Drosophila melanogaster: one gene and its partners. Changing the gene in region 2 together with the main gene of any one other region gives a genetic interaction. Each region holds a gene or a part of one and is shown on either strand. Other genes may lie near its edges.

What was found.
Region 1: of hep (region 2) and tsr, changing one suppresses a phenotype caused by changing the other (phenotypic suppression), as found in Drosophila melanogaster (one study listed by BioGRID).
Region 3: of hep (region 2) and Glyat, changing one suppresses a phenotype caused by changing the other (phenotypic suppression), as found in Drosophila melanogaster (one study listed by BioGRID).
Region 4: of hep (region 2) and alph, changing one suppresses a phenotype caused by changing the other (phenotypic suppression), as found in Drosophila melanogaster (one study listed by BioGRID).

The regions. Positions count from the first base shown.
Region 1 is NT_033778.4:24,042,151-24,050,115, forward strand, and holds tsr (twinstar), read right to left. Parts: upstream 4,656-7,965; 5' UTR 4,519-4,655; coding exon 4,516-4,518; intron 3,033-4,515; coding exon 2,842-3,032; intron 2,770-2,841; coding exon 2,664-2,769; intron 2,601-2,663; coding exon 2,454-2,600; 3' UTR 2,303-2,453; downstream 1-2,302. Other genes in the region: IntS1 (integrator 1), read left to right, coding at 1-2,188; gammaSnap1 (gamma soluble NSF attachment protein 1), read right to left, coding at 5,133-5,171, 5,355-5,709, 5,776-5,846, 5,916-6,110, 6,185-6,300, 6,489-6,556, 6,619-6,683; sei (seizure), read left to right, coding at 7,281-7,965. UniProt on the Drosophila melanogaster protein: Exhibits F-actin depolymerizing activity and regulates actin cytoskeleton dynamics. Required for cytokinesis in both mitotic and meiotic cells and for aster migration and separation. Promotes cell motility during ovary development and oogenesis.
Region 2 is NC_004354.4:13,085,671-13,093,620, forward strand, and holds the start of hep (hemipterous), read right to left. Parts: upstream 4,765-7,950; 5' UTR 4,107-4,764; coding exon 3,689-4,106; intron 1,471-3,688; coding exon 983-1,470; intron 922-982; coding exon 742-921; intron 376-741; coding exon 155-375; intron 82-154; coding exon 1-81. Other genes in the region: lic (licorne), read left to right, coding at 5,813-5,871, 5,942-6,332, 6,419-6,551, 6,614-6,816, 7,490-7,708. UniProt on the Drosophila melanogaster protein: Required for the epithelial cell sheet movement called dorsal closure (DC), which allows establishment of the dorsal epidermis. Controls the expression in the dorsal epithelium edges of another dorsal closure gene, puckered (puc).
Region 3 is NT_033779.5:8,005,979-8,012,449, reverse strand, and holds Glyat (glycine N-acyltransferase), read left to right. Parts: upstream 1-1,797; 5' UTR 1,798-1,814; coding exon 1,815-2,006; intron 2,007-2,070; coding exon 2,071-2,315; intron 2,316-2,371; coding exon 2,372-2,545; intron 2,546-2,599; coding exon 2,600-2,825; 3' UTR 2,826-2,847; downstream 2,848-6,471. Other genes in the region: Tg (transglutaminase), read right to left, coding at 567-705; CG12560 (uncharacterized protein), read left to right, coding at 2,991-3,194, 3,255-3,502, 3,559-3,732, 3,798-4,008; Spn28Dc (serpin 28Dc), read left to right, coding at 5,318-6,018.
Region 4 is NT_033777.3:29,588,087-29,596,004, reverse strand, and holds the start of alph (alphabet), read right to left. Parts: upstream 4,175-7,918; 5' UTR 3,838-4,174; intron 2,912-3,837; exon of another isoform or gene 2,734-2,911; 5' UTR 2,655-2,733; coding exon 1,842-2,654; intron 1,779-1,841; coding exon 1,661-1,778; intron 1-1,660. Other genes in the region: CG31041 (uncharacterized protein), read left to right, coding at 5,123-5,497, 5,635-5,856; CG11470 (uncharacterized protein), read left to right, coding at 6,243-6,935.

The DNA of each region.
Region 1 (7,965 bases), on a different chromosome or scaffold from region 2:
GGTTAACGCCATAACAGAGGTGCTAGCCGTGGGTTGCAGTGTCACGATGAGCCGTCACGCCTGCACATTTTTAAGGACTTTCTTCAGCTGCATGCTGCACAGCGACAAGTATCACATACTGGAGAACGCTCTCCAAAAGAACTTAAGTATGTTTAAGCACACATTCGCCGACTCCAGTCTGCTGCAGAAATCCGAACTCTATCATGAGAGCTTGGTGTTCATGCTGAGAAACTCTCGCGAGATTTATGCGCAGCAGTTTAAGGCGAATACCGCCTTGGTGGCACGAAAACGGATCGTCCGGGCGATCGTCCAAAGCTTCGATCAGACCAAGGACAGCAAGACCGTCGCCAAGTCCAAGAGCGACCAGCTCTTCCACAACGGGCTCTTCATCGACTGGCTGTCCGAAATGGATCCCGAGATAGTTTCCACTCAGCTAATGAAGGAGCGCTTTCTGTTCTCAAAGTCCTGCAGCGAGTTTAGGTTCTATCTGTTGTCCCTGATCAACCACCAAACCAACTGGGACACGATCGAAAGGATTGCCGAGTACCTGTTCAAGAATTTCCATGAAGACTACGACTACGCCACCGTCCTCAACTACTTCGAGGCACTGACCACCAATCCGAAGCTGTGGAAGGGACGCGACAAGTACATGTCGAAGAACGTACGGCCGGATGCCTTCTTCATGCTGAGGACTTCTGAACTGGAGCCGTTCTCCCACTTCATCCTTCACGAAGGGCTTTCCGAGGTCAAGCTGGACAGCAAAAACTATGATTTCAAGCTCTGCTCGCGAATGAACCTACTGTTTAAGCTCACAGAGAAGCGACGAGACCTCATGGTCAAGGTAATGGAGCACGTGGAGAAAAGTTCGGTGTCCGACTACTTGAAACTGCAGGTCCTCCAGCAGATGTACATCATGTATCCGCGCATCAAGTTTCTGAAACCGGGCAAAACCGGCGAGCAGGCGTACAAATTGCAGAATCTGAAGGGCTGCCAGGCGGACAAGGTGTCCAACAATCTGATCACCTGCTTGGGCAGTCTGGTGGGCAAAAAGGACTTTGAAACCCTGTCCACGGACACCGAGCTGCTCCTTCGCAAGCTGGCTGCCTCCCACCCGCTTCTCTTCCTTCGCCAGCTGGGCGTGCTGTCGTCCATTATGCAAGGTCGGGCCCAGCTCAGCATGAAGGCCCTGCGCGAGGAGCACCACTTCCACCGATTTGTACAGATCCTGAGGACGCTGGAGCTGCTGCAACCAACCATCTTTGAGGAGGCGTACAAGAACGAGATCCAAAACACGCTGTCGTGCTACTTCAACTTCTTCAAGCACCACAGCAACGTAAAAGAGGCCTGCCAAATGCTGAACAAGTTTGTGCAGATGCTCCAAGCCTACATCAACTACAATCCCTCAAGTGCTCTGCTCTTCATCGAACAGTACGTGGGCATCCTGAAGGAACTTGCAGCCAAGTACACCTCACTAGGCAAACTGCAGGTTTTGGTCCAGGCCGTTGCCCTGCTGCAGCACAAGTCGCACTCGGCGACGGAATTGGACGACGAGGAAGTTAAGTACGAGTACGATCTGGATGAGCATTTCGATGTAAAGCCATCGGCCAGCAAGCCCGTGGTAACAGAGGATCCCATCGAAGTGAATCCGCAAACACCCATCGATCCAAGCAGCAGTAGGGGTCCCTTATCGGTTCTAACCTTGGGCTCGTACAGCCGGTCGAACTACACGGACATATCGCCGCACTTCCTCGATCTGGTCAAGATCATAAAGCAGTCCAACACGGAGGACGTGGTCTTGGGTCCCATGCAGGAGCTGGAGTGCCTCACTTCCAAGAGATTTGTGTTCATCAACGAGCTGTTCGAACGACTGCTCAACCTTATATTCTCGCCGAGTGCCCAGATCCGGTCCATCGCCTTCATCATACTGATCAGGCATCTGAAGCACAATCCCGGCAATTCGGACATCAACCTGTGCACCCTTAACGCCTACATTCAGTGCCTGCGGGACGAGAACTCCTCGGTGGCAGCGACGGCCATTGACAATCTGCCGGAGATGTCGGTGCTGCTGCAGGAACACGCAATCGACATCCTAACGGTGGCCTTCTCGCTGGGCTTGAAGTCGTGCCTGAACACTGGCCACCAGATTAGAAAGGTTCTCCAGACTCTAGTGATCCAGCATGGCTATTAAGCGTTCGGTCTATAAGTTAGAACCGTCATCATATGTACAATGTAATCTTTGCTCCTTATAATAAAGTGTATTCTGCGGTACGAGATTTTTACCACAGCGGAAACGCGACTTGGTCAAGTTAAATATTTCATTCTTTATTTCTACTGAAAATACAAATTATGTAGAAAATTCTCATACAAATTGGCGATCTCAACAGGATACGTGTTTCCATCGCTGTTTCATGCATGCCTTGTTTGTTAAATGCAATGCACAGTGCTCGTACAGTTTATTGGCGGTCGGTGGCCCGGAGTTTCTCCTCGACGGCTTCCCGGGAGGCTTCGGAAAGATCAGTGGCTTGTATATACTTTTGGACGCCCACGAGCGACTTCTTGAGAGCATCGAAGGAGCTGGAGTACAACATCTTCTTCTTGACCTGTGGGTGTGTGATATCGAAATGAGTTCTGCGCCATTACTTGGCAACTGGCTATTCACATACCTTGGCAGTATCGGGACACCACGACATAAGGAACAGCTTTTGCTTCTTTGAACTCTCAGAGGTGCCTTGACACTGGTGCATGTACTCGAAATCGAACAGTCCGTACCTGTGCAAGCGAATAGATGTTAAATTAGGTTAGTTTCGATGGGTCTGGGTGTCTCTAACCGGCGGAACTTACCGGCACTCTCCAGGTCCGCATTTCTGGATATCTTCTAGAAACTGGTCGTACTCGGCGTTGCGATCTGCCACAGTCTCCACATCAATCTGCTTTTCATCGCGAATGTAAAAGATGACATAGCGATGCTTTTTGTCCTTCTTTATTTCCTCGTATGTAGTCTTGCAGACATCAGACACAGTTACACCAGAAGCCTTTAGAGAGAGAGAAGGTAGAGATGCAAATCAGAGAATGTATTTTGAATGTTCAATGCGCGCCAAACTGTCAACCAAGTGTGTGTGCATGTATGTGATACAGGGTGCTCTCTTTGCGTTTCCCCAAGTATTCCCTTAAAACAAATGTTCATGAAGTACCAAGTAGTTGAATTGTAAAAAAAAATAAGTGAAGTTCAATGTTTTATGCCCACATAAGACACGAGGCACCCTGTACCTCACTGATGTACATATGTGCGTATGTAACTGACTGGCAGACATAACTGCCCACCTTCAGCTGACAGTATATCCGTCCCTTTTCGACTTTGCAATTTTATTTCTTTGATTGCCGGCAATAACAAACATAAAGGTAAATAATTTATGCTACTTTATTTGCATTGCCACCGCAGAACTTTTACCGGTTAAGGCGTGCGCACACTTGGCACGCCGATTTATCTGGGAGTGGTGGGCGTGGCACCATTTACAGTTAGATTTTCCTTTCTTTTTTTCCCGGCGCTCGGAAAGTTCAAGGGTAAGTTCACAAGTGCCGGCAAGTTTAAGGGTGAGAACAAGCCGACAAGAGGGAGAAAGAAAACTAAAAGGGAGGTGGCTGTTTCCCCACGATTTCGTTGCGCTCACAAAACGGTGGAAAATGCCCGATTTTCCATAATATTCGGAAAATGTCGAGAAAATCAAAATCGTCCCACATGCAAACAGTCGTCTGCTGCACACACACAGCTAAACATCATGTGTATGTATGTATGAACATCCGCAAGGCGGCAAGGAAACGATCACACCTTAAATATGTATGCCTGCAGATACATATATGGATATATATTGATACATATTTCTGTATGGTAATATGGACGTACATATGTACACACATTTTGCGTCTGCGAGAAAATAAGCATTAAGCATTGCCCCGCAGATACATACATACGCACATATTTATAGCCATCGAAATATAAAAAAAGCGGTATACCCACACACGCTCAAGTGTGTAAAAATATATATATGTATAGACATGAAAATCCAATGTGTGTGCATTTCTCTTTCCAACATTTCAATTTTTAATCGCTCCATTTTTCCAGCTGCCACTTTGGAGCATTCTTTCGCGATTGCCTTTCGCGAATTTGCCAGTTATGAGTGTGAGTGGCGGCTGAGAAGTATGAAACACTCCAATAAATGAGTAATATCCGCTGCTACCAATGACTAATTTGGTATATATGTATACGCACACATTCATGACCATGTATATGCCCGAATATGGCCAACGAACATATAGGCAAAAAAAAGTGGAAATATATGTATGATTGATATATACACACTTATCTAAATATGTATGTATATACAGATTTCAAAGGAGAGATGCTTATATGATTCATCGAATCGAAGACATTATTTGCACTCCACCTCGCTTCCAAAAGTGCACAATGACCGGCCGCTTTTACCACCGAGTCTGAATGCGAGTCCCAAGTGTACGTACCATTTTTCCTGTAGTTTTTCGCTTTCACAATTCTCAAATTGCTGCTTCGCCGAGTATATATTTTACAAATACTGTTTAACCTTCCGCCTTCTTTCACGAACAACCGGACGAATCAATTTGGTCGGTTATTTCGCACAGGTTAGGGTTGCCAGGCGCCGGCAAAGTATCAACATGCGTCGTGACGCGTCGCGACGTTTGTGAAGCGTTTGGAACGGTGAAATGGCACACTTTCGATCTTTCAAAATGTCAAATATTTTAGGGTGCTTTAAAATACATAGTATAGTTTGAGTTAATTTATTTATTTATATTAACAAATTGCACTATACTTTCGTGTAATAAAGCTGAAGATTTACAGATTTGAATCTTAACACATTCGCTGTTTTGGAACATAGAATATATATACATAGTTTACACTTATAGCTACAATTTATTACTTCAATATCAATTCATCCCAAAGCTAATGATATTCTTTGTTGTATAGTATTGATCTTAGTATTTATTAATTAGTACAACGATTGCGATGAAATTTGTATTTAACAGTTAATATAATATGTTAAAAGCGATATTATTAACGATAAATATATTTTGACTAACAAGCAGACCGAACATTAAGAAATTTAGCACAAGCCACCTTCGTCCTCGGCGTCGTTGGTTTCCTGCGAGAGAGAAAGAGAGAAAATACGAAATTCTTGTTAGCTATTTAGTTTACTGCTTCGCACTGTCCCAAGTCTTCTATCGACAACAAAGGCAGATTCAATCGCCTATCGATAACATCATAATAAGAGCCAAATTTACAAAACAAAAATTGCAAATTCCATTTTTAGAATAAAAATACTCACAGCAGCAGTGTCGCCAGCCTTCTTCTCCATCTGTATACCCTGAGGTAGTGGAATGTTTTTAGATAGAATAGCGTACTCAACATCCATATGTCGTATGAATGGGGATGCCAGCATCCTAGCAGCTAACTCGGGATCCTCGTCATCGAAGGCTTGCAGAAGGGTCTGCAGTGTGGACACTTCCTCTGGCTCGCAGCAGTTTCCCCACTCCCTGAAGGTCTTTTCGGCTTCCACGGAATCCCCGCGAGCCAGTTGGACCATCACCAAGGCCACAACTAGGCGTCCAATTTGTCCGTAAGATTCCGTTTGCTGATTCAAGCTGATCTCCTTTTTGAGCGCATTCGTGGCTTCGTCGTACCTGGAGTGATTGGATGATATAAGCTAAGGATACCCAAAGTGATTCGTTGCAATCATAGGTACATACCTCCTTAGTTTGACCAGTATCCTGGAAACTTTTGATGCATACTCGGCTGCTTGACGGACGGAATCCTCGATCTGTCGGGTAAGTATAAAATTAATAGTTTAAGAATGGAATTGACTAGAGCAGTGTCAAATAGGACGAACCATTATGACTTCTAGAGCATGCTGATAGAAGCGCAAAGCCATGTCAGGATGCTTGGATTCAGTTAACTTGGCGGCTTTATCCAAGGCGGATGCGGCTGCCTCTGGGGAACCGTGCTGTTGATACAAACTCGCCGATTTGTTGGCGTATTCCTCAACTTCGTGTAGCTTATCGGCATCCTTTGACAGCAAAATGATCTAGAAGATGTGCACATTTAGAGGGTTTAAATTTCCTATTAACTTCACTTATATTAACTTCAATTTAAGCTCACCTGTTCGTATGCCTTTGCAGCATGGAACCAAGACTTGTTGTTTTTATAGGCGTCGATTGCCTTCAGAAAACACTCCTTGCTCTTATCATAACTTTTAGCTATTCGATATGCAGTGGCTGCAATTAAAAATGTAAAAGAAAGATACATAATTGTACACCAATATGTGTGTATCTTGCAAGTTATGGATACTTTGGGATAATCGTTAGCTGTAATTCATAGTATTTACATATCTCATTGATGTCACAATGTTTTTATAGATAGATACTCTGGGTGATATTAGTCACTCCTACTTTGTGAAACTCACCAGCTTTGGAATACTCATCCGCAGCACTATCGTAATCAGGAACCCATTTCAGCATGGACAACTTCAAGCTGCAAATAAAGATGGGTGTTATTTGGAAACCCCTTTATAAGGATATTTTTGTTGGGGATACCTCTTCTCGGCCTGCTTCACCAGGTCCTCCGCTTCGGCAATCTTTTTGGCAGCGATTCCCGACATTTTCAACCACTTTTGTTTAGCAGGAAAAATCAATTGTTTACGTTTGAAAATAGTGTGACCGAATGCGAGAAGGAAAATAACAATGGTTCGAAAATCACGGTGGTTTCGAATCTTTGAAAACCGAAAGCAGTACGCATGTCTGAAAATTTCAGAAAAGCAAAGCCTGATTACACCGGGAAAAAAAAGTTGGTCTTATAAAGCAGTTGACTTCGAAATGAAAATGCCATGTATTTACATACATCTATTCATTTTTTTATTTTATCTATGATATTTAAAAAGTAGAGTATGTGTAACGAACAAGATCGAATTGAAGTGTTTTTAATTGATTGAAAATGATTTTCCACTCCTGATTTCTCCGCGTGCATGTCATACCTGTTCTGTTTTGATTTGCAAGTAAATAAGAAAGTGCATTAGGTAAGAAATCGCAGTTTTCGCCAATTTCAATCTGGAGTAAGTGGAAATTTTGGATTTATTATTAAGTTGTTTTTAAGCGAAGATTTATTTGAATTTGCTTACGAATCCGGATATTCTGAGCTTTGCGAATGTTTGATTATAATTTGCAACACTTTTTCGTTTCTATACTTTGCAGACTTAAAAATGTCCCACAAATCTTGCGTGGAACTGAGCGAAATTCGAAAATTGGATAAAATAGTGCAGCAATGCGAGCTGTACATGTCCAACAACAATATTAACGATAATGCGGCCAAGAAACCGCCTGTGAAGGAATTCAAGCGCAATTGCCCTGCAAAATCGAACAAATTTGTGGAGAGGGAACTCTTCTCGCTCATGTGCAACCTGAACAAGATTGAAAAGAAGCAGGTTTTCGTTTCAGATATCCTGATTAACGCCAGCATGTTCGACGACAAGAAGGAGAGTTTGGCGCGGTTTCCGAAAAACGTGTCCGACCACAACACTCTGGTGTACCACAAATTCCTGAGGACTCGACCCACTAACGATGATGAAGCCCTAAAGCTGAAGGCTGGTGGAAAATCGAAGGAGAGGCCAGGCACGAAAATCACGGCAGATTGCTTCTTTTCGCCTCTTCTATTCAAAATCAACAACAAAAGGGAGTGCCTGAAAAAAGTGAAGCCCATGAAGGGGGAAAATGCTGTCGAAACCAATGGTATCCCACTCGAATCCAAGCCAAGTCAGCACAAAAAGCAGAAAAGTTTCAAGAAATGCATTAAGTGCGACAAGAAGAAGCTGTACATTAAGAACTATCAGGTGTCCGCCCGGCGGGAATGCGATCTCCTCTGCTCGTATGATCCCTTGCGTAAAAATA
Region 2 (7,950 bases):
TTGGCTGATTCATAAATCCGGATGAAGGGCTGGGCCAAAAGCTCCGGATACTTGGGTCGATCCTGATGGTTCTTTGTGAGGCTGCAAACAGATAAAAGATCCATATTAACTGGGCTCTGTACAAGCGACAATAATACTAGAAAGTATCACTCACCACTTGATGACGAAATCGCGGAACTGCTGACTAAAGTTGTAACCCTCGCCGTATGGCAAACACGGCGGCTCCGAGTCAAGCACCTTGGTGAGCACCTCGAAGTCCGTGTTGCATCCCTCGTACGGGGATCGCGCTGTGGCCAGCTCCACCAGCGTTATGCCCAGTGACCACACATCTGCGCGAATGTCGTACTTTGGTTTCTTGGGGTCGATGCGCTCCGGCTGTAAAATTGAAATTGTAGGGCATTCAAAATAGTTGTTTCAAAAACTAGATGAATCACATAGGTCATATGTATTCTAAGTACTTATTGATTAAAAGCTTAGTTTACGCTTCAATTATCTCAAATTTATGGCTTGCTTTGCCAAGCTTGGAATTTCCCTACGAACACGTTCATTATTTAAATAAACTAAGTCATGACACCGATCAATTAAACAACAAACCTATATATTTTCCAAGAAATGTAATGAGTTGTAAGCTTGTGTAGCAAAAAAATTTAGTACTTTACAATATACACAATTTTCTCAATCAATCTAGGATCTGTCTAGTCTATTTTTCCCTATCATAGCCCTCCCGCTCTTTATACCCACCGCCATATAAGCTGCACAGCCGGCGGATCGAGTGTTGGCCTTGGAGTCCACCAGGCGTCCGCTGATCCCGAAATCACAGAGCTTGATGTTCCCGCGCTCATCGATCAGAATGTTCGAGGGCTTCACATCTCGATGGATGACTCCGTGCTTGTCCTTCAAGTAGGACAATGCGTTGACCGTCTGCAAATGGAATAAGTATTAAGAAAAGATTCTAATGAAGCGCTATTCCTTCAGAACTAACCGCCACTGTGACCTTGCCCAGGATCTGTTCCGGCACCGGCTTCTTGGACAGCTTGAGCAGCTTGTCAAAGCACATGGACATCAGCTCCATGCAGATCCACACATCCGGATCGCGAACGAAGCAGCCAAGGCACTTGACAATGTACTTGCAGTCGTGCGATTTGAGCACAACATCCAGATCCATCAGGATGCGTTTGTTCTCCTCCGCGTTGCCAGTGCGTCGCATCTGCTTCACGGCGATGATCGTGTTGCTGGACAGGTGCATCATCTTCACCACATTGCCGCTAGTCCCATTGCCCAGGTCGCCCAGGTGCTTGAGGTCATTGATGTCCGTCGGATACTGCCGCCCGTTGATGTTCAGCTTGCCGGTCTGCTCCATGATGATCTTCAGCTTCATGTCCGTTTCCGAAACTGGAGGATGTGGCGGCGTGGGCAGCGGAAGTATCACCGGCCGCGTACGATTCAGTCCACCACCGGGACCACTAGAAACTATAGGATATACAATGGAAAACAGCGATATGTTGGTATGATGATAAAAATGTACGTATTAAATTCAATCTAACTAAAAAATTAAACAATATTTTGCATATCTATTATATACAACAAGAATACTTCCAACACATATCTCTCAATTTCTATACGAAAAAAATGCCTTAAAAACAATCCTTTGAAATATTTGCAATAACTTCCAATTGGGTTACCATAGGCCACTAATCAATTAACGAATGCTGCCCACTGTGCCATCGTGTGCGTGTGTGTGTGTGTGCATGAAGAGGAAGAGCGAATGAGAGCGATTTTGTTTTTGTTTGCGAAGTTTTTTTTTCCCTGGCAGCAATTCAATTCAACAATTAGCCACTACAACAACAGCACGTCATAAAAAATAACGCTATTTGTAAACATGCGAAAGAGGAGACACGGCACAATGTCCGATGAACGAATGTGGGCAGGGTGCGGCGGAGGTGGGAATATGTGAGGCCCAAAAAAAATGACAACAACAGTAACGGGCATATCAAGACATTACTCCGGAAATGCCAAAAAGTAACCAATGGCGGAGAGCGAGAGAGGAAGAGAGCACCAAACGCGAGTAGAGAGACGCACACATGCAAAAAGTAAATAAAAAGTATGTAAGTAAATAAATAACAACACTTGATGGCAGATGAAAATCCAATAAGAAAAATATACAAGACAAATATGCAAAAACTTAAATGTATAACAAAAGGAAGGGGAAAAGAAACGAAAAAAGGCGGTGGGTGGTCTCACAACCGTGGGCACAATAACGTCATCTCTTACATGAAAAATTTAAAATTTCTATCAATTTAAGCCTCATAAATAATCGAATAACGACAACTTTTGTCTTTAATAAACCAATTTTGTTCTGATAAATTAACATATAGACCGTTATATTTTGTTAGCTATTTATTCATTTAACTTTTGCTCGCTCATTATGTACCACGAACTTGAAAATCTATTCAATAGCTGATTACACTGTTAAAATTTGGGTGTGATTTTAAGTACCCCTGAAATTCGCGGAAACTATTAACCACTACTAATCTAATCGAATCGAAATGTATTTGATTATTCAAAAACCCATTAGGCATTTTCTGGGGTTCATGTATCAAACAGTTATGGTACCAGGAATTGTTAATCTAATCGAGGCGAAAATAAATTGACGCGGTTCACAGCTGTTAATACCACTGTAGATTTGACTTCTTTTTATTTTTGTTTGGCCCAACAAAAGGCCGAAAACAAGTTGGGTACGCTTTTGGTGTTCGCACTTGGCCTGTCTTATCTATGCAATCGGAAAAACAGAACGGGAAATCGGAGGGGGGGAAAAGCGGCAGAGCTACGGGGTTGACGGGGCGCTGCTGAGGTGCTGGAATGGGGGATTATGAGCAGCTGTTATGCAGTCGGGGAATCGATAGCGTTTGCCCTTTGTTGGCGGCATCCAAATGCTCCAAAGTAAACCCAATGGCAATAGCAATGGGAAAAGCCAAGAAAAGAGCACTTCTCTTATCACAATTTAAGCACACATACATGTATGTACACACACACACGCGCACATACACAGCTTATTGGGCAATGACAATTTATTAACAAAATATTTACACAAATGCGGACAAAAGATGGTTTTGTGGCTTGCGGTTGGCGGTACGGTATATATAGATTTTTGGTGACCATTTTTGGGGATCACGATTTTTCTCAGCCCACTTTTATTACCACTTAACAAACTGTCTACAGTTGCGGTCAGAGAAATGTTGGCTTAAATCCACACCTGTCACAGAGGATCAATAAAGATTTCACCTGTCTAATGTTCGATCGATAAAACATTGATCTTTCTGCGAATTAATATCAAAAATGTTGTTTGTGCGTTTGGAAATTTACTTGGAAAGTTTTACCACGTTTTTGGCGGCCAAAACTGTTTTTCGACAACGATTTACTTTCGAAAGTAGAGAATTATCGAATATTCGAATCGGGAAAGTCTCGTTGGAAAATTTTGAGTTACAGTACGCAGTTTGATAAGCTATCATTTTTAGATAGCGGTTTAGAGTATTCCCTGGTACATGGAGTTTAGTTGTGACATTATATTTTGTTATATTTTTCTTCAACGATTTTCAAAGATTCAGGTAACTACAGTGTTTTTCTAGTTGATCCCAATTAATTTTATATATTAAAGATTTAGTAGGAAGTTAACGAAAAGAGGACTTACGCATGGGCAGTGTGGGCGTGGCTCGCGACACTCTAGTTGTCGGCGGGGTGTATGTTCCACCGAAGGTGCCCGTCGCCGGTGCTGCGGATGCAAATGCGGATGCGGATGAGGATGATGACGAGGCGCTGGCGCTGCCGAAGGGCGTCGCATGAGGAACTGGAGGTGCTGGACGCTGGGCTATGCTGATACCCGATCCGGAAACGGAACCTGCGCCCAAGGAAGGTGCGTGGGTGGCGGATGTGGCTGCGGATGCGGATGTCGCCAGGGGCGGGACGCGGGCAGATGGAACGGAACCGGAAACGACAGGGCCGCGCGCACCGGAGAGGACGATCTGGTCGTGGGACTCATTCTGCGCCTGGAGCTTTGCCTCCAAGGATTGCAGCCGACTGCCGATCGTTTCGAACTCAATGGTGGACATTATATCGAGTCGATTTGGTTCGATTTTTTATAGTTAGTTGCTAGTATCGTTGGATTTTGGTATTTATTAAATTTTTTTCGCCGTTTTTTGGCCAGCACTTCTTCGATTTTCCTCTCACTCACTCCCTCTCTCTCACACACACACAAGCGCGCGCAGGCGGGGGAGGGTGCGTGTGTGTGTGAATTGTTTTGCTGTGCGCCCTGTTTGTTTTGTCGCTGATGTTGTTGTTGTTCGGCGGCACACATACACTGTAAACTTTACACTTGCAAAAATAAAGGATTGCTTGGACTTTTGTTGTTTGCCAAGGGGGGGCACAAAAACAAAATCGAAAAAAGGAAAACACAGTCACTGTGCATTAGAGAGAGACATCCTCACCCCCACACACGCACACACACAGGCATACACGCAGCGCCCTCTCTCTCTTTCTTTTTCAGCAGCAACGGCAACAACAACTTGCGATTTTTTCCTCCTTTTTTGGGAGAATATTTCATCGGTTGTTTTCCTTTCGCGGCGCTGTTTGTCGCACTTCTGCAATCGATTCGTTTCGCGACCGCGGGCGGCGGTATCACTGGCACAATTTGATCACTCGCTTTTGTACGTTTTTGCTGCCTAAATCGCGTGTACAATAGTGATGTAAAAAAACATCGATGCATCAGCCATCGATGGTTCTTCGCCGATAATTCTTAATATCTTTTTTCGTGCCTATCGATGGTTTGCAAAACATCGGCACCTCAGAAACAGTTTTCGAACTAGGAACGGCATCTAAAACTATGTAGGATTTTATTTTACCGAGATAGAATAATTTTCAGAGGATATTTCATACAAATATAATATAACTATAATAGATTTTTCAAATTCAAATTGGTCGATTCGAGAGACTTCGTTGTTCTTGTACTTAAAATAATAATATAAGGTCTACCTATTTATTAATTAATAAAATAATAAATTATTTTAGTACAATTCTAAAACATCGAATTCTATATGTTCAGTCAAACTTGCAACATTACGTATCGAAAACGGAGTGACCAAAGTGCTAAAAAGAATCATAAATATACCGAAATGCAACTTAAGATGGGCATCACTTGGCTAGAACTTATTAAGTTTTCCCTTAAAATAAATGTCTATAAATGTATAAATAAAAAATTAAAGAAAATAAACAAACATTAAAAAATAGGTATGAAGAATATACGGAACAACTTTCTAGAAGGCTTACAAAGAGATATAGATATAATCGATACCTAACTTAATTATCTAAATTCGTTGCAGGTGGAAGCAAATTTATTATCGAGGCACTTCGATTTATTTGTATGACGATACTATAGCTGCACTCGTTGGGATATATCGATAGGACCAACTGCGGCTGGCCAGCGCTAGTGGAAAAGAGAGAAAAACGAGAAGAGAAGCGAAAAGCGATCGGTGAACAGTGCAAAAAGTGCGGAAAGGAAAGCAAAGGCAATAGCGAAAGGTTGGGCGGCAAAACCCGGGCCACACGATCCACACCGATCCGATCCCCATATCACCGACCCGCATCCGAATCCTGACCTGACCAAATGCGGTAAAAATAGCCGCACCGCATCGCATCCGATTCGCACCGAACCGCCAAGTCTTGCAGAATCCGCCAGAAAACACCAAGGAAAGTCGTGGAGAGGAGAGGGTATATATAGCATATAGCATATAGGATATAGGATATAGAAGGGCCTACCAAAATGTCCAAACGCCACCGCCTCACGCCCTTTACCATTGCCAAGGAGCCAGAGGCCGCCATGTAAGTCAAAATGGTCAAATCCTGGCCAGAAACGAATTGTGAATTGAACTACATTCGGCAATCCTTTTAGAGTCCCGCCACGCAACCTGGACTCGCGGGCCACCATCCAAATTGGCGACCGGACCTTTGACATCGATGCAGATAGTCTCGAGAAGATCTGCGATCTGGGCCGTGGCGCCTATGGCATCGTGGATAAGATGCGCCATAAGCAAACCGATACGGTCCTGGCCGTCAAACGCATACCCATGACCGTAAATATTCGAGAACAGCACCGCCTTGTAATGGATTTGGACATATCGATGAGATCCAGCGACTGCCCCTACACCGTCCACTTTTATGGTGCGATGTATCGCGAGGGCGATGTCTGGATTTGCATGGAGGTGATGAGCACCAGCCTGGACAAGTTCTATCCGAAGGTCTTCCTTCACGATCTGCGAATGGAGGAAAGCGTGCTGGGCAAGGTCAGCTGGGGAGGATTGGGGGCGGGTCTAATCTTATCGGGCAATCGCCACTATACTATTACCGTACTACTGCCTTTGCTTTACAGATTGCCATGAGCGTGGTCAGTGCGCTGCACTATCTGCACGCTCAACTGAAAGTCATTCATCGGGACGTCAAGCCCTCGAACATACTGATCAATCGGGCCGGCCAGGTCAAGATCTGTGACTTTGGCATCTCAGGTGGGCTGGCATTCTGTGACTTCTTGCCACTGTAATCATTCTAATATTGGACTGACTTTTAGGCTACCTCGTCGACTCCATTGCCAAAACCATTGATGCCGGTTGCAAGCCGTACATGGCGCCGGAACGGATCGATCCCCAAGGAAATCCGGCGCAATACGACATCAGGTCGGATGTTTGGTCGCTGGGCATCGGCATGATCGAAATGGCCACGGGCCGCTACCCATACGACAATTGGCGAACGCCATTTGAGCAACTGCGTCAGGTGAGTGCCTACCTCTGGCTGGTAACTGTCACAAAGAGGATCTTCAAGATTTTTCCGGACAAAATATGTGTCATTTAGTCAATTTGGGATTTTAGGTCCTAATTATACAAAGGCTACCGATCCGATAATGTATTCCATCTTATCATATATGTAATGAACATTTGGATTTTTCCAATTGTGGTAGCTAAAAGCTTTTAAGAAGGGTGGAATTTCTAAAAATTTGATAATTAATAATCAATTGACACGTTTGATTGGAGCTTATGTTTTTTCACAGATAATCCGTCGAAAATAGTATAAAAATAGTAGTTATAGCCACTCATAATCATATACGAAGCAAATGCTGAGTATTATTATTTCCTGCTAATGATTTTGTTAATATTAATGTCAAGAACCAACTTTCGTTACATAACTTATTGGGGGCTCACAAATAACTATTAAGTAATTTTAATTAAAAATATAACCACTTGTTCTCAAGCACTTTACACGTACAATAAACTCTAAAAAAAACCATTAGTAATGTGCCAAGCTGCTGTGGTTATCAGAATACTAAACAAAACTATTAATAAACATACAGAATGAGGCTTTTATCAGAGGGATTTTGTAACCGATCTAAACCACAAGTTTTCGCATCGTGCGTAATTAAGAACCTATTTTTTTTTTTATTATCTTTTAGGTGGTTGAGGACAGTCCGCCGCGCCTGCCGGAGGGAACATTTTCGCCGGAATTCGAGGACTTCATCGCCGTCTGCCTGCAGAAGGAGTATATGGCAAGGCCCAACTACGAGCAGCTGCTCAAGCACAGCTTCATCGTGGAGCACCTGCAGCGCAACACGGACATCTCGGAGTTCGTGGCCAGGATACTGGATCTGCCCGACGCGCAGCCGGCGCAGTAGGTTAATGGCCGGGTAGCAGGTTAATGGTTAACCCATGGCGCCGCCCCCTTAACCCCTTAAGCCGTGCCCGTGCCCGTGTAAATTGCCGCCGTCTTCTTCTAGCATGCATTTCGTACATGTTGTGTGTGTGTCCCCCGTCTGTGTGACAGCAAAAGGAATAAAACTTTATTTGAATGGAGTCCAAGGAAACCCCAAAAACAAACCCAACAGCAATCAGCAATAAGCGTCAGCTAATCTAAAGA
Region 3 (6,471 bases), on a different chromosome or scaffold from region 2:
TCAGTTATTGTTTAAATATTACATTTTTGGCGCTACTAAACTGCTGTGTAAGCTATCTGCCAATCAACAGGTGCGCTGCTTCATGCTTTGTTTATTTTAATTTAATTTTCGAAATTGCAGGTATGAAATGAGCAATTTGGGGGGATAGAAAAAAACTACACCGTGGGCAGCGCGTCTATGAGTGTCTAACACCCACGGCTATAAAATTTGCATTCATAAAAGGCAAATGACTATAGAACAAATGCATAATTGTTTGGATCGGTGCCATACACTATAAAGTAAATCAATTTTCGACGTTGGTAAGCGGAACGCAAAGATAAAATCGAATTTAACGGCCTTAAAATATGTAGTAAAACAATTTGAGACTCAATCAATTTCTCTAATCAAACTTAAACGTTGAATTCGAGGTCTTAGTATTCAAAATACATCTAGATACGTTCTTATGTAAAATTCAAATTTGTTGTTTGAATTATAAAAACTGTTTGTAGGCTATGTACAATAGTACATTGTCGAATTAGTAAGGTGTTAAGATCGATGTTTTTATTTATTTGGCGATTGAAACCAACCTGTTTTGTCGCCTTGTGGAATGCCCGTAAAATAGTTGGCATTGGCATTGCGTATACGCAGCGTTGACTCCTCGTTGTCCTTAGATGTACACCACTTCCAATCGCCGCACTTTTGGCAACACGATAGTTTTTGACCCATGTCTCAAGTCGAACTACACACCCAGTTATTTTTCAAATGCTGGCGTATTCTGACTTTATCTATTGGGCAAACCGGTTCGCCTTGGCGATGATAAGCCTTACTTTGTTGATTCTCCGATGGATTTGTAGGATTGGTATTTGAACTTCGGAATATTGCTGCTACTCTAGAACCCAACAATTTCGCTGTCCGCAATTAACTGGCGTGTCATTTTTTGGTTAAACTGCTCGCGCGGAATGCAAAATCGAGGCAGTTTAAATTGTAACAGCTGCGATCACGTCATCGCCGTCGATGGCGTTGATTCGAAGCGGTCTATTAAGCTCCAACATTCGAATGATACTGAATACCGAATCGATCGGTCGTCTTCTCCCAACTATTCACATTTTACATACCATATGCCATGTGCCTGTGGTGGGTCAACGGTGTCACTTAGTTGATGGCCTCGAGTGTCCAAAAAGCAGAGATGCGTGTGTAAATTGATCAGCTTTACGGAATAAGTTGCAGTTGAATCATTCATGATTGACTTTGATTGCTATCAAATTGATTGACGACTATCTTAGTTAATTAATTAGTTTGAGTTATCATGAGTGTGCTAAAGGGGCGTGGTTGGGTTTAAATCTTTGTCAGTTCTGTCAACACAGACTTTAGATTTAGTGTTTTGCGTAATGGTTATTTCCTGGGAAGATACACTTTGAGAAATAAGCACTTCATATGTTCCTTCATTGTGACCTTGACAAGGTTATACGAAATTTACATGCATTTCTAATAGAGGGTTTGTCCCCAATATATAATCAAATACATAAAAATGATAAGCAAATATTTTTTATTAAAACTTTTAAAAATCGATAACCGCTTAAAGAAATTTCTACAGTTGGCGATCAGTCAATCAGAACGCAGAAATGAGTATAAAACATATCGAAAATTTTTTAAATGAGAAGGTGTCTACAAAAGAGCACAAGATATTTTGTGACGTCAATGGGTATACTAAGAGAACGCAAGAGAAAGAGATTGTCATAAATATACAAAAAGAACTCAGTAAATAATTGTTGTGTCTGTGAAAAGAAAAACATCAGTATCATTTTTCTCTGCCTCAGCAACAATTGTAATTGGAAATGGAACCTATACTGATAGAAAAATCTCAGTGGCCAGAGCTCAGAGATTTGTACGCGAATGATAGAACTAATCTCACGGGATTCGACTTAATCGAGTACTTTTTAAATTACATACCCTTATCCACAACCGAATCCATAAAGATATATACAACTGATACGGATTGGAGAACACATGGCAGTTATATACTAATTGTAAGCACATATATAGTTCACATACACTAGGTATGTGAAATATAACTTTAGATCTGCATTTCAGCATTATTTGGAGAACAAGGCCTATATTTATATGAATACCATTAAGGGAACCCCAGAAGATCTTGGCAAATTGTTGAACTCTCTAAAACTTAAAGTGTTTCATTTAATCTGTGGCTATGAAGAACGATTCAAACCATTAGTTGAGGCATATTGGCTGAATTTGGGTCAAGATTTGATTAATCTTGAACACCAGGGCGCTATTGTTTACCACCTGCCAAGCACCGAAATTCCCAGTTGGAAACCAAGGTAAAGTAAAATAATAATATTCAGTAAAATCTTGTTACAAATTTCTAACCCTTTAGTTTGAGTACCTCTTGCAAAGTGGCTTATATCACATCAAATCATGCCGAATTGGTCGACAAACATTGGGCTTATCGTTCAGCTGATTCTATAACTATGATAAGGGGTTTTATGGAGAACAATCTCGCTGTTGGTGTTTTTGATAACCAAGGAGAACCCCTAGCGTGGTGTCTAAGGTAAGAAAAGAAGATGGGTTTGATAATATTCCTGAAACAATCTGTATTTTCTAGATCTCCTCATGGTAGTTTGAGTAACCTACACGTTTTATCCTCACATCGTCGAATGGGATTGGGTTCTTTGGCAGTGCGCTTTATGGCTAATGAAATCAAGTTAAAGGGCTCAGAAGTTCTGGCCACAGTTGTTCCCGAAAACGAGGGTTCGCAAAAAATGTTCGAGAAACTAGGATTCAACAATATCAACAAACTCTACTGGGCAGTGATACCGTGCACTTTATAAATAAAGAATAAATACAGATTACAAACGTCTACTTTTATTATGAGTTTCGATTTACTTGTTTGCTCTCTTTGTAGTGCACAGCTTTTCTCTTATCTCATTTTGTTTTTTTTTTTTTTTGTTTCAAGTTTAGTCTGCGTTCAGCTTTTGTTGCGAAAGGTTGTCGTCATGTCGACGGAGAATTCGTTGGTTGAAATTCCACGCGGCGAATGGACTAAACTGCGAGATTTGTATGTGGCCAGAGATACGGATCCCCAAGGCTATCCGTGCATAAATAATTTCATTAAGTGGGTGGAGATAGACCCGCAATTGAAGGTCAATTTCCTATCGTTGAATGGCGACTGGCAGAGCGATGGAACCTTTGTTCTAACGGTAAGTTATGCGATGTGAAATGCAAAAGTTCGGTGATTGAATGTTGTCTAATCATCTCAGCTACGTTCGGATACTCATATGAACCACATTTACTTCAACACACTGAGCGAAAATTTGGATCGAGTGACGAAAGCGTTAGAATGCCTCAAGTCCATTGAGAATGAATACGATTTCTTTGGGTTTTCTACGCGATTGAAACCTGTGGTGGAGTATATTGGCAACAAATATTATGCCAACAAGAAGCTGCACACTGTGGATACCGTTTGGTACGCGGCCAGCAAAGAACTCGTAGATACATTTAACATTCAGTGAGTTTGTACTTTATACTCTATAACTCTCAATGAAACGAATAATTTCAATTTAGGGTTCCTCCGGGCTTAAGTCTACAGCACTTGACCATCGAAGATGCCGAAATCATCAATGAAAACTGGCCACATAATAAACCCGGCTCTATAGACTTTGTGAGAAGTTTAATTAAATATAATATTAATTTGGGTGCTTATGACGACAAGGGAAAGTTGGTTGCCTGGTGTCTGCGGTAAGCCATCGAACTGTATATAAATGTATATAAAAACTTATTAATTAATTAACTTTCCTGTTTAGATTGCCGATTGGATCCCTGGGTCTGCTGCAGGTTCTGGAGTCACATAAACGCCTTGGTCTCGGCAGCTTGCTGGTGAAGTCGATGGCTAAGAAGATTTCCGCAGCGGGAGATCAAGTTTTGGCGCCAGTAGTAACGAAGAACACCCCCTCGAGGAGCATGTTCGAGAAACTGGGTTTCCGTGCTATAGACAATACATACTGGGCTGCCTAGCAACTGAGAAGAAGCCAAAAACTAACATAAATATTATTAAAATAAATATAGTGTAGGAAATGATTGGTTTTTTAATAATAAAGAAGAGTGAATCAGCTCATTCAATTATAGCTGAGCACCCATGAATTTGAGCTTGAATTAAATTGAGATGGATTGTAATGTAAATTTAATATAATATATTGGATAAAATTGGTGAATATAAAATGATATAATCTTGAAATGTTAATGATTTCAAAGGAAGTTATTTACGCTTCCTTTGCACGTTTCATTTTTAATATTTTTTATAATGAAACTTGTGCTTAAATTGTCAAGTTAAATTTCCGGATAATATTTACTTTAATGGTCGATGGTTTTTATTATGATCAGTTTACCATAAACTGAAGCTGAAACTAACTAACTTAGAGTTAATAACTTACATGATAGATAAAAAACTTACACAACTACCATTAACTATTTTTGGTAACTGGCATTACAGAAGCAAAAATGAGTCATCGAATCTAAAATAACTCATAAAGCAAGTAACGCTTAAATATAATTTACGACGGGCTTGTACGACGGCATTATCTATTACCAATAAAACCCATCTCATATTTGTTTAGTTCTGATGGCCCAACAGATGAGCACAAATCTTATCCTAGCGCTGGGAAATCCCACCACGACTCCATCACCGTGTCAATGTGCCGCGAACTTTCCAATGACGAGACCGAGAATACGCACCAAACATAATGACTATAGTATATAGCTAATAAATATTTAAACTATTTACTCACCGGTTGCGAGAGAATATCAGTATGCACGTCACGGGTTTGAGATACATACGTACGTACATACATGCATAGATACAAATGGATGGGAGAGGGCTGCCATGGATTTCCGCAACAAAGTTCGCAGAATGCTGATATGAATGGGCGGGGGGCAGTACATGAGTACGTGAGAAAGTACCGATCGATGAAGATCAATAACAAGTGCAGACACGGGTCAGCCATGTAAACAAAGCCGGGGTATAACCAGTGACTCGTCGACGAAACCTCTCCCAGATCCAAGCTCGCCAAGATCCGAGAGCAGCTGGGGATGCAGAGCGCGAGAGATCGGGGACTTGAAGGAGCGTTTTTGCTTGATAACAAGTTTCCGATTCCAGTTTTATAAAGATGCGCGCTCAGCGCCAATCATTCAGTCTGGCTTTAACAACTCGCACAGCCACATCGCGTTTGCCTCTAAAAAAAAAAAAAAAAATATATATATATATATATATATATATAAAGTTCGTTCTGTGTGTTGCGTTCGAGATTAACAAAAAGAAAATTACAAAATGTGGCGCTTGCTTTTGGCACTTTTGCTCGTGAGTTCGGTGTGCTGTGAATCGGAACTATTTCGTGATGACCTGAGGACCCCGGAAACGATGGCCTACATCAATGGACTGATGCAGCGGCGGCATCAGATGCAACAGGAGGCGCAGCAGCACATTCAGGCGATACCGCCTGCGGTGCCCCTTCAATCGCCCGGCCTTGTGAACGGCCTTGGCAACCAGAATGACCCTGCGTTGAATCGCATATCCGGCACTTCGGTGAAACCTTCCAACCTTCCGGCTGCCTACTCCAACGGCTATGTGGATCTGGCCACCTCTGATCGGATTGCGAACAGTGTGCTGAACTTTGCCAACATTCTGGGCCAGCATTTGGCCAACGGTAAAACCCAGATATACTCTCCCCTGAGCATTGTACACTCGCTGGCTCTGCTGCTCCTGGGCGCCAAGGGTCGCAGTTACGAGGAGTTGTCCACGGTCTTCGATATTCCGGACACGTCCAGGCTGCACGAACAGTTCGGCCTGATGCTGCAGGATCTGCAACAGCCCACCAGGGAGGCGATCTCCGCAGGACGACCGCTGACCGATTGGCGGGCGAGCAGCGCGATGAGATCCAATCGACGGGCCCAGCGACCCGGTGCTCATGAGGTGCACCTGGCCAATGGACTGTTCACACAGACCGGCTACACACTCAATCCCGACTACAGGTGAGCCGAGCAGCGGATAATTATCCGGCTGCAAACTGGAACTATAGCGATATCTGGTTGGGAATGGGTGCTGGGAAATGCCAAACGATTAGCGATCGCCTTGAGGTTTTACACCGTGAAAAACTGAAGGCCATGCGGGCTAAAGTGATCTCCTTTTCTGAATGCCAAGTGAGGGAAACAGGTTCATTGTACCAGCAAAATGATCTCACCCATTATCATCAAGCGTTTAGTGTCTCTTGATGGTGGTGCTCCAAAAGGAAGTATTTATTTTATATTCGAAGATAATATACAACGAGAAAATATTAGAATATATTTTTCTGTGTAGAAATGAGCGTGTAATTCCACTTATATTTATGAATCTTTAAAGCCCAAGCTTTCATTGAGAAATATATATGTACGTACGTACGTATAAAGTTTAGAATATAAATGGGAACCATTGACAAACAAATTTAG
Region 4 (7,918 bases), on a different chromosome or scaffold from region 2:
TATGTCTGATCGATTTGGGTGGAGTAATCGTTTGCCTTCGGTTAACAACAAGCACAACAGTTGGTGAGCATAAGGTTTACAATTCGGTTTCGTTAACCTACGTATACATTCTATAACATTTCAACTCCTTTGGCTACTCTACTCTAGGCTAAGTAATTCGTCTGGACACTGGACATTGGTTTATTGCTTAGCCTAAATAATTTCTAAATGGGTTAGCTACTGTGACCAGTGGTGGGCAATGCATGCTCTAAGTCTATTCACTAACTGGCTAATTGTAAATCGTACGAATTCGGTCTAAAGTAATTGTCTATATCAACAAGGTCGGCCTGCGGGTTTTTGGCCGAGTTTCACTTTGGTGCCTCGAATACTGAAGTCTCGGATAAACACCACCAAGGGTTATTCATTGCTTTAAATACGTAATTCAAGTAATACGACTACAGTTCATCTGAGCGGTTGCTAGTTAATAAAATATATGTTTTCATTGCTTCTCAAAGTTTTTGTCAGCTATTCAGCTTATTTACATTTCTATCTACAACTAATCTTCTCTGAAGACATTATACTCTCCTATTTGATTTTGCTTAGAAATTAAGATTTAATTCGCTACTCCTACTTAGATACATCAATTCCAAGTGTTTGTTTTGAGTGTCAATACCTGCGTACGTTAAGTATTGCAATTTCGTTTGATTGATTCACATCGCGCCTAGTATCAAATGGGGTATACGTATATGCAAGTAAATGTATATACAAATTGGTTGACGGGTCATTTAACTACTTAGCTCGGGCAGGTTCGTCGATAATTGTTATTATTTAGGTGTATATGTACGACTAAAGCTAAATGGGCTGGATTTCGCATACATGGAACGCTTTTGGCAGTGGCTGTAGTGCACACAGGCATGTATAAATAATACTATAACTCAGGCTCACACACGGGGCAGACGAACACTGGTCAGCCACACGCACAGCCACCAGATATGACAAACTAACACGCTATACAGGTATTTGCTATGCATTAGTGATAGGATATTGGTCGAACGCCCACACACACCCCATTTACATATTTATACAGGCAAATATCGGTGAAAGCTCTCTAAGGGAATATATAACTAAATGTACGTGATGTCTAAGCACTAAGAATATGAGCATAAATGAGCCACATTATGTAGAGTATACAACATTTATATAGCACTCTTGTAAAAAAAAAAAAACGGACTTCAGCCTTTTTGCTGTTGATATGAATTTGTAAATTCGAAAGGTTTCAAATAAGTATTAGAAATACACATATAGATTATCAGTGCCTATTATTATCCATCCAATAGAGCTTTCACTGTACTTGAGGTGGGTGTGCGAGGAGTTCATTCTTGGCATTAGTAATGGCAATGGTTTGGTTTTCGTTTTGGTATTGTTTTTCGTTTTGGAACTACTTCGGAAAGGAATTGTTTTGTAAGATTCTAGTTTTGGACAAAGTGGGGCATATACAGCTCTAGAAGCACTTTGGGTCGGGACTGTAGGCCATCGAGGAGCCCATATAAAGTACTCGTGACGCTCAAGGTACAAAATATACGTATTTCGGTTCAAAAGAGACGCGAAGACGGAGGAGACCACTACGCCATGGGTCAACAGTTTACGATTAGTTATAAACAGAGTAGACGACTAAGACAACCTCTTGTGATCTTCTCGATTTGCTTTTCCAGACGATGTTCAGCCTCTATCGCCTCCTCGGTGGGCTTCGGAGCTCCGGGGAAGGCAATGATGATGATGCTCATGTTGTCGCGGCTACCCTGTAGTCAAGAAATGAACAGCATGTGAAAACTTTGACGATATGCATGGTAATCAAGACTCACCTTGTGCAGGCAGGTGTCCACGACCTGGTTGGCGATGCTCACTAGGTTACTGGTCACCCGCATTCGCGAGTGGATGAAGCTGCACACGTCCTCGTTGGACATCACATCCCAGATTCCATCGCAAGCGAGCACCAGGAACTCATCGCTATCCTGGCGGCTCTGACAGAATATCTCCGGTTCCGGCGATACCAACTGCTCGCACTGTCCCTTCTCCTTGACGTTCTTAAAGTCGTAATCCCCAAGGGCTCTCGACACTGCCAGGGTACCATTTACGCGCTTTATCATAACACTGCCACCCGCATTATAGATGCGCTCTTTCTCCTCCGGCAGAATGGGTTTGTGATCCTGCGTGGCGAACACCGGAACACCCTGGCGGCACAAGACGGCCCTCGAATCACCACAATTGGCGATGTACACTTGCGTGAGGCCGACAAAGGCGCACACGGCGGTAGTTCCGCCGCATTTCTCCGACTCCCGGGTGAATTCCGGCAGTTCCCGCATAACCTCGTCGATGCGCAGGAAGCCGGTGCGAATGCCCTTCACGTGGTCGCCTCCAATGAATTCCTCGGTGCTAATAATGCTCTCCAGAAGGTGCTTGGCACAGTGCTCCGACACCTTGCATCCGGCATGCCCGTCGAACACGGCAAAGAAGCTCCAGTCCGGCAGGGCATCCCCCAGCCCGGCACGAGCGTAGTAGGCGTCCTCCATCTCCGACCGCCATCCCTGCATCGAGCTGACCCCGAAGAGCAGCTTGTTGCCCTCACCCTCGTCATTGTGCTTGGCGGTTTTCGGCTTATCCAGGAATCCGCCCATGTTCACTGAACATGCTGTGTGCTGTGTGCCGGGCGGGTGCAATTTCTCCTCCTCTTACGGCTAGCCGGTGCCAAGGAATCTACGGATCGAGGACACAAGGGTATGCAACCATTAAACGACTGCCAATCAATATCAACCAGCAAGACCTTGAACTTGAACTTTCACCAGCGGATGACTAAGCAAAGGTCATGCCAAAATAGATAGTTTATAGTTTTCCACACACAAATAATAAACTGAATACTGTGTCTGAATATTCCTGTAAATGGTATCTGGATTTTTCTGACACAAACGGATGTGCAAGTCTCGGCTTTTGTAAAACCATTTCATTTCATAGAAATTTCTACGGAAGTTAAGTTGACTCATGGCAGTTTGATTTCAGCTGAACATGAAATAATTATTTGCTATACTCTTTCTAATTCTCGACCTGTATGAGTCGTAAACGCATCTTGACCGTCAGTAGGATGCTGGTAGAAAATCCAAAATAAGTATTATCTATTGATTTGAATACTTTTACTATAACTTGTGTTATTTTAACCTGTTTTAACCTGAACTGTTGAGACTGAAGGACTCCAAATATAAGGTACTAACTACATATATATAAACCGGCAAAAACATGTGAATTCCGAACTGGAATCAGCTGGCGCTTCATAATTAATATACATATACATGCTCATACATATGTACAGGGTACATTTGCGGGGCTTCCCCCTGTTGAGTTTTGCACTTGTGCCACAGAACAATAACTGTAAGCCGACTGCAAGGACATGGAAAAAAGCGCAAACACAAATGGGGGCGGGGCGGAAGACCTCGCGGCAGCTGCCCGCCCACGCTTTTCACCGCTATTTCCTCTGTGTCCCGCGCTTTTTTGCATTTCCTTTTGACACATCGATTTATCAAGGACGCGGCTTCGTCCTTCCGCTTGGCCGACTAAATTTAGCACTCGAAAGTGGGCGTTAAATACATTTTGTGGAAAATGTGGGGAAAATTGCGCGCAACAGCATCCATATCCCATTCACAAAAAAAAAATTTGTTTAGTGGCCAGCAAGTTGGCAGCACCGATTTCAGCAGGGGCGGGGGGTGGTGGAAATCCGGCATGGCCACCAAAAAATGGGAGGTAATGAAAACGCACTCGCGATTTATGATCTTCGGTGCTGGGAAAACCTTCGCCTCTCGTTATTTTCACCTCGCAAATTTTAAGTTTGATGATCTGCTTCTTCTTCCTCCGCTTGCTGCTCTTCTCTCCGCGTGCGAGTGGTTGTGTGTGTGCGAGTGCGTCGGTGAGCTGCGTGCGTGTGCGTGTCTGCCGTAAGTAAAAGTTTAAGAAGAAAAAACGATCGTTTTCCACTTGATTTTCATCGCCTACTAGCGCTTTTAAGATCAACGAACGAGTCGCGCACTTAATAACACTTCTGCGCGATCCCGAAATGCACTTTCGAGGCGGAAATGGAGTTTTTTCTAATATTTTGATTAACAAAGTGACTAGTGATGTAAAAAAGCATCGGGCATCGATGTACTGAGGGCGATACTTATCGATGATATTCGAAGAGCTATTGGCTATCGATAGCAACCGAAGGCACTCTTCTAGCGAATACACGCAACCCACCTAAGCAAGTACACCATCCTATTGGCGATGTTAAGTGCGATGCAGTTAAGAGACACCATCACTCTATGTAGAAACAGATGTTAACAGATGTGTTAAACGAGGTCCTGGCAGTGCACTCAAAAAAATTAGTTGTTCAAATCCACTGCATTTAGTTCTTGTGGCTTCCGCCAGTTTAAGTATGCGTTAATTTATGAGTGTCCATACTCCAAAAGTGCTTCCTGCACGAATTCTTAGAATTGTGTTATCTTTTATAATCTGCAAGTGATTAATACAAATTGCAATACAAAATTTGTGAATACCCTCTTAACTGATAGTAAATGTAATTATTTTAGAGGTGACGTAAATAAAAATTGCGTAGGCATCTATATTTACCATAAACAGAATTCCTGATATGTTTTATATAAAATTGGTGTATAAGCCATGCATTATTAGTATACACGAGCTAAATAATAAAACTATTAATTATTCAAAGAAAAATATCAGCGAAATCTAGTGTCTCTTATTTACTACCTTTCTCTAAACATATATTGTATAACAAGAACACGAAATTATTTTCCATGGTGTTAAATTTCTAAAGTAGATATACATATGTAGCTCTTTGCCTATAATGGGTAAAATATATTTAGTTTATTTGATGGAATGAATATTGTTGAATTGATATTGGGGGTTTCATTGACACCTTTTATTTGAAGAGCTTCCACAAGGCGTCACGATAACGGGGTCTACATCAGGAACTACCCCAGATAGTTTGTGGATCATAAATATTAGTAATCTAGTTGCTGGAATTACTACAGTATAAAAGCCAAGTCTGGGTCTTTGGGCCCCACACTCCAGTTGTCCAGTTCTCCAAGTGTCGAAAGTGAATATGTCGTTCAAGGCCGTCCCCCTTTTGTTGGCTATCGGCGCCGTCTTCGTGGCTGCCGTGCCCACTCCCGTCGAGACCGAGAGGGAGTCCTCGCTGGTGGAGCTCCTGCTCAGTTCTCCGGCCATGCGATCGGATCTCTTCAACGTCGAATGCGTGGACTACTACAGCCCGCTCCTTAAGGGTCACGTGGACAAGTACAACGAGGACTTCACCGCGTGCAAGGACAATTACGACGGGGCCTTCTCCCTGATCGACTCAAGCTACCGCAGTTCCCGCGACGAGCTGTCCGTATCCGTGAGGGACACCTGCCTTTCCCTCCTGACCTGCAATGGCAGGACCTCGAACTCCGATGCCTTCGAGTGCTTGGCCTCTGGGGTGAGTGATTCGTACAATGGTGGCTTAATCTATGATCTTCCACGCATACTCTAATGAGTATTTTAAAGTGTTTTAAGCCGTATTTTGTATAACTTTTTGCGCTTAATAGCATTAATAATATCACCACCCAATCGCAGGGTCCTTCGGCATCCAAGGAACTGGAGAAAGCTTCCTACAACGCATCCGACAACCAAACCAGCCTGCTCGCCGAGGTGTCCGTAATCTCGGAAACGCTATCCAGATGCCAAATCGAAGCCTACCGGACCTACAACACCAACCACGGCGAGTGCTACGCCGACATGGTAGCCTGCCTGGGTGATCCCAACTGGGAGTTTCCCAGCACGAACTACGTGCTCTAGGACTCGAGTCAAGATTCAGATCACCTCGAGCACCCTGTATTCGTGAACTTTTATCGCTGTAAATAAAAGACTTTGAGTGAATATTAATCAAGTTTAAACGATTAAATCCTATACCTCTGAAACTAGCTAAAGGATTGGACGACTTATTCATTATCAGCTCAATATGAAGGTGTTTTTCAAAAGTGTATCAAGAAAGCTTAAAGGTTTTTGGCAGTAAAACATGAGCTTATCTACTCTCGTTTAACATTGCCATCCATCAAACCTTTAGAGCCATCATTATCAGTAATTGAAAATATATAACATTAATGTGTAATTAAAAAGATAATGATAAATGGGAGTATAAATACGTCTGGGTGTCACATCCACCGTCAACTAACCTGGCCAAGATGTTCGCAAAGCAAGCCAAGATCTTGGTCTTCTGCCTTTCCCTGGGCCTCTCGCTGGCTGTGAAGCTGCAAATTCCCTTTAGACCAGACGCCCACATCCAGGAGCTGCAGCTGCAGAGCAGGGAGCTGGCCGAAGTCCACTCAGATCACTCCACGCAGTGCTTCTCGATCTACAAGCCCAAATTGGCCAAAATTGCGGATCAGTTCGAAACTAACTTTACGGCTTGCATCTCGGCCTATGACAATTGCACATCCCATATCAGCGAGAAGTATGCCGAGGATCGCCAGATCCTTCTCAGGTCCGCCAACATCGGCTGCTCGTATCCCAACTCCAATTGCCAGGTCTGGACTCTTGAGCAGCAGCCGCTGGACACCGTGGTCTCCCGCCTCGAATGCGCCTCCACCAACTCGGCCGAGAGCTCCAAGACCTTCTATGCCATTTCGGCCAATGCCACGCAGATTGCAGTTCAGATCCAGGAGCAATATACGATCCTAGAGAGCCGGAAGAGTGTTTGCATCAATGACGCAAATCGCTCCTATGTGGAAGACACCTCCGATACCTACGAGCTTTTGAACAACTGCCTCAAGAACGGACCAACCACCACAACTTGTAATCCATTGACTTACCCTACAACAACCACAGCAACAACAACAACAACAACAATAACAACCGCAGCACCTTTACTTCGTTAAAAGAAAGTCAATCAATAAATATATCAGGCAATTGAATTCTCTGTTTTATATAAATAAATAATATAGGAATGCAAGCTATTCACTGTGGAGCTTAGTTGTTTAATAGATGACAGGATTGAATAAAATATAGAGGGTACCAACTTATTTATGAAAGCATGACAGTACCTAAGATTATTGTATCAGCTATTGTTAATAGCTGCCATACGAAAAATAAAACTATATTAATTTTAATCATAACATCAGTCGGTGAATTATTTAATTTAAAAAAAAAAAATTTAAAAAAATATGCTAAAAAATTCACAGTTTCACGTCTTATAACAAAAACTGCTTTAATCCGTATACATCAGTTTTTATACCCCTTAGTCGTAGAGTAAGGCGGCATACTTGATTCCATGAAGAGTATGTAACACCTAACCGAGTCTATTTGACCATGTCCGCCCATCTGTCTGTCAGTCTGTCCTTATAAGCGTATCTCTACTATAAGAAATCATAGAAATCATAACGCAGATTCCAGAACAAGTTTGTTCCATGGCGTTGCCACGCCCATCCAGCTAAGTAACGGGTATCTGATAACAAATAAACTCTTCTTTAGTTACTTTAGGTACTGAATTGGCTTGCAATTCAAAAACGATAAATTTGAATTTATATTTCGGCACATTGTCTACGCTGGTTTCAGTTTATGATACAAATTGAACTTTTCTCCAAAAGCAAAGATATTTTTAAAAGTCCATGAACAACATTTTTTCAATTTGAAGTAAAAATTGAACCCTTGTTACTGCTACCGATTGGAAACGATTTCTGATAAATGTAATTTACTTTGTTTGAGATTAAATTAAGAAATATTTACCAATTACCGGAAACAACAAATTAGCGACATGCGACATTTCCTCCAACAAGAGGCAATTGCTTTCAAAAGAGATAAGAAGCTCGAGAAATGGGTATAAAATCACTGAGCTCTGCAACCGAGGTATTCAGTAAGAAGT